2 linked regions of the Drosophila melanogaster genome follow. The protein of the gene in region 1 interacts with the protein of each later gene in a pairwise test. Each region holds a gene or a part of one and is shown in the gene's direction. Other genes may lie near its edges.

Evidence for each region. Proteins that work in one complex are often made in the same cells at the same time.
Region 2: the proteins of cpb (region 1) and porin interact in a two-hybrid assay, tested with the Drosophila melanogaster proteins (one large-scale study listed by BioGRID).

The regions. Positions count from the first base shown.
Region 1 is NT_033779.5:1,703,053-1,707,293, forward strand, and holds cpb (capping protein beta), read left to right. Parts: upstream 1-1,849; 5' UTR 1,850-2,059; coding exon 2,060-2,062; intron 2,063-2,078; exon of another isoform or gene 2,079-2,225; coding exon of another isoform or gene 2,226-2,228; intron 2,229-2,347; coding exon 2,348-3,175; 3' UTR 3,176-3,725; downstream 3,726-4,241. UniProt on the Drosophila melanogaster protein: F-actin-capping proteins bind in a Ca(2+)-independent manner to the fast growing ends of actin filaments (barbed end) thereby blocking the exchange of subunits at these ends.
Region 2 is NT_033779.5:10,846,924-10,852,799, reverse strand, and holds porin (porin), read left to right. Parts: upstream 1-1,951; 5' UTR 1,952-2,046; exon of another isoform or gene 2,047-3,284; intron 3,285-3,734; exon of another isoform or gene 3,735-3,769; intron 3,770-3,936; coding exon 3,937-4,256; intron 4,257-4,331; coding exon 4,332-4,559; intron 4,560-4,631; coding exon 4,632-4,932; 3' UTR 4,933-5,375; downstream 5,376-5,876. Other genes in the region: SmydA-3 (SET and MYND domain containing, arthropod-specific, member 3), read right to left, coding at 1-282. UniProt on the Drosophila melanogaster protein: Forms a channel through the mitochondrial outer membrane and also the plasma membrane.

The DNA.
Region 1 (4,241 bases):
ATGAGAAGTACTTTACGTGCATAAGGTTAAACGAAAAACAAAAAAAAAAATAGTTTTAAAAAAACGCAAATCCGTTTGGAGCAAACTCAGGGCATTATCAAGACTCACGACGATGTATACATGCATTTAATACAAACAAAAAAAAAAAATAAATAATGAGAAGAAAAACAGAAACTTTTTCGATATGTATTACGATAAAAAAAAAAAAAATTATGAAAGCAACCGCAAAACGGATGTAATAATCATGCGAAACGATTATGAACAACTCAGGTATTAAATATTAAATGAAATATTTTTAAAAACTTATAACGAATCGAGCGGGCAGTCGGTCAGAAGTCAGAATCAGCATTTTCACAAGTTGTGCAATATTCTTAAAGTTTTCTAAATACGTAATAGTATTAATAATCTAATATGCGATCATGGCAAGGATCAGTGAGTTGAGATGTTCATAAGCATGGGATCCGAAAGGTTGAAGATCGAGGATCGATGATTGAAGATTGAGGATTGAGAGAAGGTTAGGTGAGTTTTTGAAGCACATGAGGACTAGGCGTGTAGTAAACCAGCCCTAAGAATTTTTAGTTTTACCACCCACACAAGTCAAGAAGAACAAGCCACAACAAACACACTCACAGAAACACACACACACACATACTCGACGCGAAATGCGAAAATAGTGAAATAAATAGCTAAATGAAAATGAGTTTATATAAAGAAGGAAAACATAAAACTGTGATTACATTTGATTGTCGAAGAAGCGTTGATAAGCAAGTGTTGCATAATTATTGAGCGAAAGAAAAACGATGAAACGAGAAATACGATTGAAAATGGAGTTATGTACTATTATTGAATCTGAAACCGCTTTTGATTTCGAATATTGGCACAGTGTCTAGCATGCGACAGAGCATAAGTAAATAAATCAATATTAATTAGCCGAAATATTAAACTTCAAAAGAACGACTAAGAAATACAAATTATAATTATCTAAGTTATTCGAGATTAGTGAAACCTGCCCTAATTTTACAAGTCACCTGTAACAGTTTTTATCCTGGCTAAAAATCCAGAGCTGCGAAAAAAAATCCCTCGATTTAGTTCACATTTCTCTGAACGATTTCTGTATGTAGTGCACCTTAGTTAAAAATTAAAGTCTGAGATTTTACATTTATCGTATATGGTCGAAGTATACACCTAAAGAGCGCACTTGAAGCGCGAGTCTAAGCCCAAAGCGGTTAATTAAGTTTATTGAACCTACTACTACTAACGAGGCAAAATCCCACACGCTACGTATTTGGCTAAAATTAATGTAAAAATCAAGAAATCCAAGGATCGATTCAGAAGGATACGTTTTCGGAGCACGCATATGATTTCTAAATAAGTATGTATGTATGTCTGAAGAGTGCGAAAGCGAAGCAGCTTAAATATATTTTAAACACGAACTCGGATAAAAATTTACGATTATGCCATACATTTTTGTGTAACATATTAAAAACTACGAGTAAGCTAAACCCACAGTCACACACAAACCAAACGCATTGTAACAGAAACTCACAAAACACGGAGAGGAAATGGGCAACCAGAATGGAATTAAGCATAAAAGTATATGAACGAAAACTAAATTCAATAAACTTGTTGCTAAAATATAATAAAAGTAAGACCATGGTTTTATTTCGGGCGGATTGAGTGCCAGAGTTTATTTTTATAAAGTGTACTGCAAATTATTGCCTTTTGTAAGTAAGTAACTGCCATTCGTTATGTTAATTTTCAAATATTTCCGCTAGATAGTTAGCGGGTAAGAAATCGATATACCAAATCGAGCGAGCAATCGATGCTCCACCAAAATGAACGATATCGCATAATAATCGGGCTGTGTTCCAGCTCTAGCACACCATAGCAAAAATAAAAAATCCTAATAATAAGGAAAAAGAGTCAATTTAGTGCAATCACTTGCAATATAAGCCCGAAATCCTAGCTAGAGTTTAAGATCGGCCCTGCTCAGCGAACGCAGGCCCCTAACATAAACAGTGTAAAACTATCGAAACAAGGGAAAGCAGAAAGTACCAAAATGGTGAGTAATACTACAATAGTAACAAGAAAAAAAAGCAGGCCAACAAACGGTGTTTTTGGTCGGAACCGCCCATTCTGCAAGCCAAATATTCTTGGCAATCACCTAATCCACCGAGAAAACCTCCAGAGGGGCGGCGGCCTGTGGCCTCAAATAATGCCCATATATGGTAATCCCTGGTTTGCCGGGTGGCAGTGGAAAGCGGAGGGATTTTTTGGGCTCTCTTATCGGCGGTGGTGCAGTGACTCAAATTCAATTTCACTGGTGTCTCTTCTCCTCTCTTCTCAGTCGGAAATGCAGATGGACTGTGCTTTGGATCTGATGCGGAGGCTGCCGCCCCAGCAGATCGAGAAGAACCTTATTGATCTGATAGACTTGGCACCGGATCTCTGCGAGGACTTGCTCTCCTCCGTGGACCAGCCGCTGAAGATCGCCAAGGACAAGGAGCACGGCAAGGACTATCTGCTGTGCGACTATAACCGGGATGGGGACTCCTACAGATCGCCCTGGTCGAACTCCTACTATCCGCCGCTGGAGGATGGCCAAATGCCCTCGGAACGACTGCGCAAACTGGAAATCGAGGCGAACTATGCCTTCGATCAGTACAGGGAGATGTACTACGAGGGAGGCGTCTCCTCCGTCTACCTATGGGATCTGGATCACGGGTTTGCCGCCGTTATACTGATCAAAAAGGCGGGAGATGGCAGCAAGATGATCCGCGGCTGCTGGGACTCCATCCATGTGGTCGAGGTACAGGAGAAGACCACCGGCAGGACGGCCCACTACAAGCTCACCTCCACGGCAATGCTCTGGCTGCAGACCAACAAACAGGGTTCGGGAACCATGAATCTGGGCGGATCCCTCACCCGGCAGCAGGAGCAGGACGCCAACGTCAGCGAGTCGTCGCCGCACATCGCCAACATTGGCAAGATGGTCGAGGAGATGGAGAACAAGATCAGGAACACCCTGAACGAGATCTACTTTGGCAAGACCAAGGACATCGTGAACGGACTAAGGAGCACACAATCACTGGCCGATCAGCGCCAGCAGGCGGCCATGAAGCAGGACCTCGCAGCGGCAATCCTGCGACGCAATGTCAAGCCCGAATCGAACTGAGTACTGAGCGGCTGAAGGCTGAATTTCCACATAAACCAATCCAGTCCAGGGGCGTCCCACAAGCTGGCTGCTCCCAAGAAGAGCGCAGCAATATTCGAATTGCAAGGCACTGTTGTCACCACTAAATATTGTCATAAATATAAATAATTTTCATAATATTTCGGCTGCACCCACCCAATTCGCTGTTACTCGCCCAATTGTGTTGAGCAGCTCCGTGGAGGACTCCGCTTGGACTGGACTAAAGAGCTGACTAAAAAATATTAAATACGCATTTCTAGGCAGTAAATTTGTTACATGAGAAAATTGTTACACCACGAGAAGCACATTAATGTAAATTTTGCCCGCCCGTTTCAACTGTCCTCCCACATTGTTGCCGTTTGGAGTCGCGCTTCATCCAGAGTTCAGCCGAAAATGCCAACTTCGCCGCCCTCAAGACAGTATCCATAAGTATTTGTATCTTATTTGTAATAATGCATATTTGCACCGAAGTCGAGGCACTTGCGTTTCGTTCTTAATCCTTCCGCGAATAAATATTGTGTTTATTAATTGTAACTTTGTGTTTGTGTGTAATCTAACAGTAAGGCGCTCGAAGCAAAATATTAACTGAAATCGCTTTGTGATTGTATTATCTGAGGAAATGCACATTACCTTTCTTCTTTACTTAATATTTTTTAACTGAAATTTGGAAGGCAAGAGAAATTTTATACAAAGAAACTAATAAATATTGAATTACAACTAGAAGTGGTTTCATTGGGGGAAAACATCATATTATCGCAAAAGATAAGATATATAAAATAAACTACTACACATCACTCCATCGATGTATACCATATTCTACTTTTAGTCACGACATATCATATCATAAGCTAGTTAGATAAGGACTAAAGAAAAACATGGCGAGTTTGGTTCATGGCTACCTTTAAGATACGTTTGCATTTATTTATGAAAATCGGAGACCGTTTGATTAAAAATATGTAATTAAATACCTTGAGGTGTGTGACGCAAACGATTGTGTGCTTACTTAGACAATTACTTTTAATCTTTGCATAGTCGCGTTTTATCATAG
Region 2 (5,876 bases), 9.1 Mb from region 1:
GCTGCACTCCAGGCGGAAATGGGCGTTATCCGCTTGTTGGGCGCACTCCACGCACAGCGGCCAGCCACATTCGCTACACAGCTCCTCCTCCGGATCTGGGTTGGGTTCGTAGCAACCCAGGCACACCACCGGTCCATTGCACTTGGGCCCGACGGCAAAGGGCAGCTCCTCGATCAGCAGACCGTGGCCACGGATCGCTCCCTTGGCCACCAGATAGCGTCCGCAGACCGGACTCCACTGAACCGCTGTCCTATTCACCGACAGCGTTGGCGGCGATGTCATTTCGCTGACTGATGCCGGCTGGCCGCACTCAGATCTCAGATCTCATGTCATGGGCACACCCCACAGATGATGCCTCCTCCCCACTACATGACTACATTTCTGCCTGCTCCGACATAAAGCATCAAAATTGCTGGGCACAGTGGGCATGCGAGGTCCTAGGTGAGAAATTTTAGTTTTGAACAAATTGTCTTGAGAAAACATTGTTCAATTTCTATAATAACTAAAATACCTTACATTTTCATAAATTAAATAATTTACTGGTTGTAACTTTTAAGTTGCTTGTAACTTTTAAGTTGCTTGTAACTTTTAAGTTGCTTGGCTTTGTTAGTTCTATTTCTAAGTACTAAGCACCGATCTATTTAAACATGTGCTTAACATTATTTAAATAATAATTCACAGTGCTTACAGTTCAGTTTTGCTACGAAATATATAAAAACATGATGGTACATTGATCATAACGCGCCGCAACTATCATATACCAATTATTCTGTCATAATAATATGTACAAATATGGCTTGTTTCATGCCATAATTTTCTCCTTACTTTCATGCACTTTAAATTTAGCTATTTATTTTTTATTTTCTGTGCGATTTGCTCCACTGTCCCTTTCACAGACTTGTTAATCCATCCGTCCGCCTTCTTTGACGTAGAGTCGCCATGAGAATCTGTATATGCCGGCTAGCCTGCGAACTGCGAGAAATGGGCCGCTGCTGCCAAAACTAATATTCGGACAGACCGCCCAGGTTCCCCTAGTAGCACCCAGTAGCCCCTGCTGTACGGATGTACCCAGCACCATCACCCCCGCCCCGCTGGAGCGCCCGCGAACTAACCTCAATATGGTTATGCAATCCAACTGCGGGCAGACGCCATCATCGCTCACATTCCCGGCGAAAGTGACACGTGCGGCGGAGAAGACCTGGCACTCTCCGCGGTGCTCCGTGACGTCTTCGTCGTCGGCGCACGATCCGCACAGCGGCCAATCGCAGAGTTCGCAGCGGTCCAGCGAATCGCCGTCCTCTCCGAACTGCAGGAACTGGTAGCAGCCCAGGCACACGATTCCGCTGTCGCGCTTCGGTCCGCGTGCGAAGGGCAGCTCCTCCAGCACCAGCTCGCCCCGCTCCACGGAGCTAGAGGTGGCCAAGCAGCGTCCCAGCACGGCGTCCTCCTGCAGACGGGCCTTCAACATTCTGTCGCCGCACGGCAAATGCACTGGTCTCGCTTTTGGCCCATCCGAATGGGATTATGCGGTCGATTGGCGGCCCTGCACGCAGATTCGTCTAAAAATAAAAAGAGCATCGCACACACTTCATTGGTGTCAATCAATAAAGTTGTAATATATTTATTGCATTTTGATTGCTTTGGATTATAACTTTTTTAAAGCCCATTTACTTGTCCACAACTTTAAAGTTTTCGTTTGCAGGAAACCCTTTTATGTAAAAAAAAAACACTTTGATGTAAGTTAATTGTTCTTAAGATAACGAATTTCTTAATAGAATGATTGAATTCTAATTTCAATAATTATTTTAAGTAACCGTTAGTTTTCAAATTTCCGTTACAAAAAGTGTGACCATTGCCATTAAGAGTGACGCAGCGTTACCAGATAGTATATCTGCGGCTTGTTTTAGGGAATAATTATTGGACGAATTTTTAGGGTTGGTAACACTAAGGCACAGAATTACAAAATTTTTTGGTGTACGTTTGTCGTGGTGTCTCTGTTCCTCTGCGTTTCGCATTACACTCTAACCAAACTAAAACTCATCAAAAGTAAGTAGCTCAGGAGTAAACCCCCTCAAAATTCAGTGAAATGTGATGGATACCCCTATGGGTAGAAGGAAAATCAGGATTTTCGGTGCCAGTGATTTCATAACCTCGAAATGAAAAAATTGCAAGTAGACACGCGCATGAACGAAAAGCAAAAGGGCTGAGCACTTTTTTGTTGGATGACGATGGGCGAGCTTCTTATCACCAAATCACGCAATAATTAATTGATAAATCCGAAATTTAAAGGGGATATTAAGCCGGTTAGCTGTCACACACACATCCACACATGAACAGTCCACGCACACCAATGCCTTCGCAGTTCATTGGCAGCAGCTGCCGGCGAAAAAAGGGGGCAAAGAAGCAGAGAGATCGATGGAAAAGTGCCTGGCGAATTTCCGTTACGTAACGCATGTCGCATCAATTCCGTTCGTTATCGTCATGTTGCCATCCACCAGCGTGCAGCTCGCTCAATAAACATTTTCGATTTCACTCTTTACCGTTCTTTATCGTCGTTTTGTTTGTTTGTGGTCATGTGAGGAGGTGGGTGCACTTCGCGATTGTGGGTGGTATTTTCGCAGTGACGTCACCTGGAAAATCAATAGACCACCTTTTCGGGCAGCTATTCACTTAGCTTTCCACTTTCCCTCATCGATTTCCCTGCTGTTATGCAACTGTCGAAAAAATGAGCTGCACATCCACCCAACCACCCCCTTTATAATCTGCTTGTCAAGGTCATCGTCAACGAGATGCTGATTCATTTTCACCGGGACATCCACCTGATAGTATTATTTTCAGCATCTAGTGACCAGGTTATATCACCTGACTTCCGGAACAATAAGAGCCCATCCCATTTAACGTTTGGCTGCCGGCCATAAAGATTTTTGTCTGCTGGCCGCTGCTTTTCATAATTTTCTGCCTTGATTGCCTTGAGTTTCCCCCCACCAATCCCCCCGAACACAACATGAAATATTTATATTGTTATATCTATATAATAATTTCAATTAGATGTTTTGGGTTATTTTTGTTTGATTTTTTTTATGCTCAATATCGGATAGAAATTTATTTATCCGCGACTAATATTCCTACCGCGACTGTGAGTCGCATTCCTGACGTCACGCAAATAGAAACAGCGAAGCAGTGACCACAGCAGACGTTGCAAATGTGCAGTTAGCTTCTGAGTCAATGATCGCTAGCCTAACGGGACTGAACTGACCAGCAATTAATGCCAGCAAGAACGGAACGTAAACATAGAGAGAGGCAAACCTGTGGCCAGATAAATAGGGAAAATCTCAGTATTTTTATTAAAATTTTAGTTTAAAAAACCTATAAAAATATTTGAAAAATAAATTTTGATTTAAATGGTTTTGCATTGGTATAGAAAACCCTTAATTTCTTGGAGTAAAATAGACTTAGTCACTATTTGTTTTCTATCTTCGCTTCTATTTTTTGCGCCACTTTATTTTGCCCAGACGTGCATTGACCCCCTCCTCAGTCACTCAGAATTTTCGCTGCTTCAGTTGGTGATTCTTTGCATGTGGCCGCCTTGAACACTAATCTAAATTGATTTCTTTATTTTCGCCGCACAAAATTGACATTTAGCCAAAGTGAAAATGGGGAAAAAGCCCTCGAAATTCTTGGGACATGTTGATGCTGTTTTTTGGCGTCTTTTAGTTTTCACTTTTCATTTGCGGCCGATAGAACATTTTGAAATCAAGTCGAGCAAAAAGTAATAATCATTATGTTGCTGATAAGATTAAACTTATCGTTCGCTAAACGCAATTAATGACCTGGCGAGTGAAATGATTTCGCAATAAGTATCATCGTCATGATTATCGATTATTCACCAACTAATTGAAGGTGCGATTTAATGCATTCCATTTCAATCCATTCCAGATGGCTCCTCCATCATACAGCGATTTGGGCAAACAGGCTCGCGACATCTTCAGCAAAGGCTACAACTTTGGCCTGTGGAAGCTCGATCTGAAGACTAAGACCTCGTCGGGCATTGAGTTCAACACAGCCGGACACTCCAACCAGGAGTCTGGAAAGGTCTTCGGCTCCCTGGAGACCAAGTACAAGGTCAAGGACTACGGCCTGACCCTCACCGAGAAGTGGAACACAGACAACACGCTGTTCACCGAGGTTGCTGTCCAGGATCAGCTCCTCGAGGGTCTGAAGCTGTCCCTGGAGGGCAACTTTGCTCCTCAGTCTGGGTAAGGATCACATGTTATTACATATATGTTCACTGCAGAATAATTAATATTGCATATTTAATTAAAAATCGTCAGAAACAAGAACGGCAAGTTCAAGGTTGCCTACGGCCATGAGAACGTCAAGGCCGATTCGGATGTGAACATTGATCTGAAGGGCCCCTTGATCAATGCCTCTGCCGTGCTTGGCTACCAGGGATGGTTGGCCGGCTACCAGACCGCATTTGACACACAACAGTCCAAGCTGACCACCAACAACTTTGCCCTTGGCTACACCACCAAGGACTTTGTTCTGCACACAGCTGTGTAAGTATTGCAATTGCCACGCATGGCAAATGAAATCAATGCAAACTAATGATTGCCTTGTCCGGTGTTTAGCAACGATGGCCAGGAGTTCAGCGGCTCGATCTTCCAACGCACTTCGGACAAGCTGGATGTGGGTGTACAGCTGTCGTGGGCCAGCGGCACCAGCAACACCAAGTTCGCCATCGGCGCCAAGTATCAGCTGGATGATGATGCCAGCGTGCGCGCTAAGGTGAACAACGCCAGCCAGGTGGGTCTGGGCTACCAGCAGAAGTTGCGCGACGGAGTCACCCTGACCCTGTCCACGCTGGTCGATGGCAAGAACTTCAATGCCGGCGGCCACAAGATCGGTGTGGGTCTGGAGCTGGAGGCCTAAGTCCGTGGTTTTCCGCTAGTCGTGAAATCCTTGAACGTTGTCTAACATCCCCACACGCCCAACAACAACAACAACAACAATAACAGCAGCCAGACAAGTGCAGAAACAACAACAAGATCAAACAAAATAAAAGATACGATATTCTTTAAAAACAAACAACACACAGTCAAATATAAAGAGAATCTGCACATCTTAGCGATTCGATTGGATTGGATTAGTTGTCAGCCGGCCATCACCACATCCGCCCATTCCCTGCCCCAGCCACGCGAATCTGCAGGAGAGACACTGCCAAACAAACGATGCAGGGGGATGGATGGGTGGTGCAATCGATGGGTCGGTCAGGTCAGTCCGTCGTCGTTGGATGTAGCTTTGATTAGTGCATTGAATATTAGCGAAATTGTTGTTGACAAAAGTGCAGTAAAAATACATTTACCTATTAAACGAAAAAAAAAAACAAAATGGAAAAGACGGAATATTATGGCTCAAAAGGCATTGCATTTTTTTCAGTTCTCAAGGCTTTACGGATTGCCTGCAAAATCCTGCGGCGAAACTAGGACACACATAACACCAAAATCACATCCTTAATAACAATCTTTACCTTTTCGTTGTGCATTTACCTGAGAAATAAATCGAGAAGAAATAAATTATCTTGATTGCAGCGTTGGTGGTGGAAGGCTTGGGAATGGTTAGCTTAATTTAAGGATTTAAGCTTGAAAGAAAAAACTGTATAATAAGATAAGTACCTTATACTGATCCCAAGTTCTTTGTGCTTGAAAAACTTAACTTTTTCGGTTGGGCACAGGACTCCGTGCGTTTTAGTTCACAGGTCTCCAGCGTGTATAAAACTCGATACTGATCAGGCAGCGTTAGACATAAATTTTCGGCTAATCGAGGCTGTTGAAAAGTAGACAAAAAATTTCGAAATTAGTCGGGCCATATATACC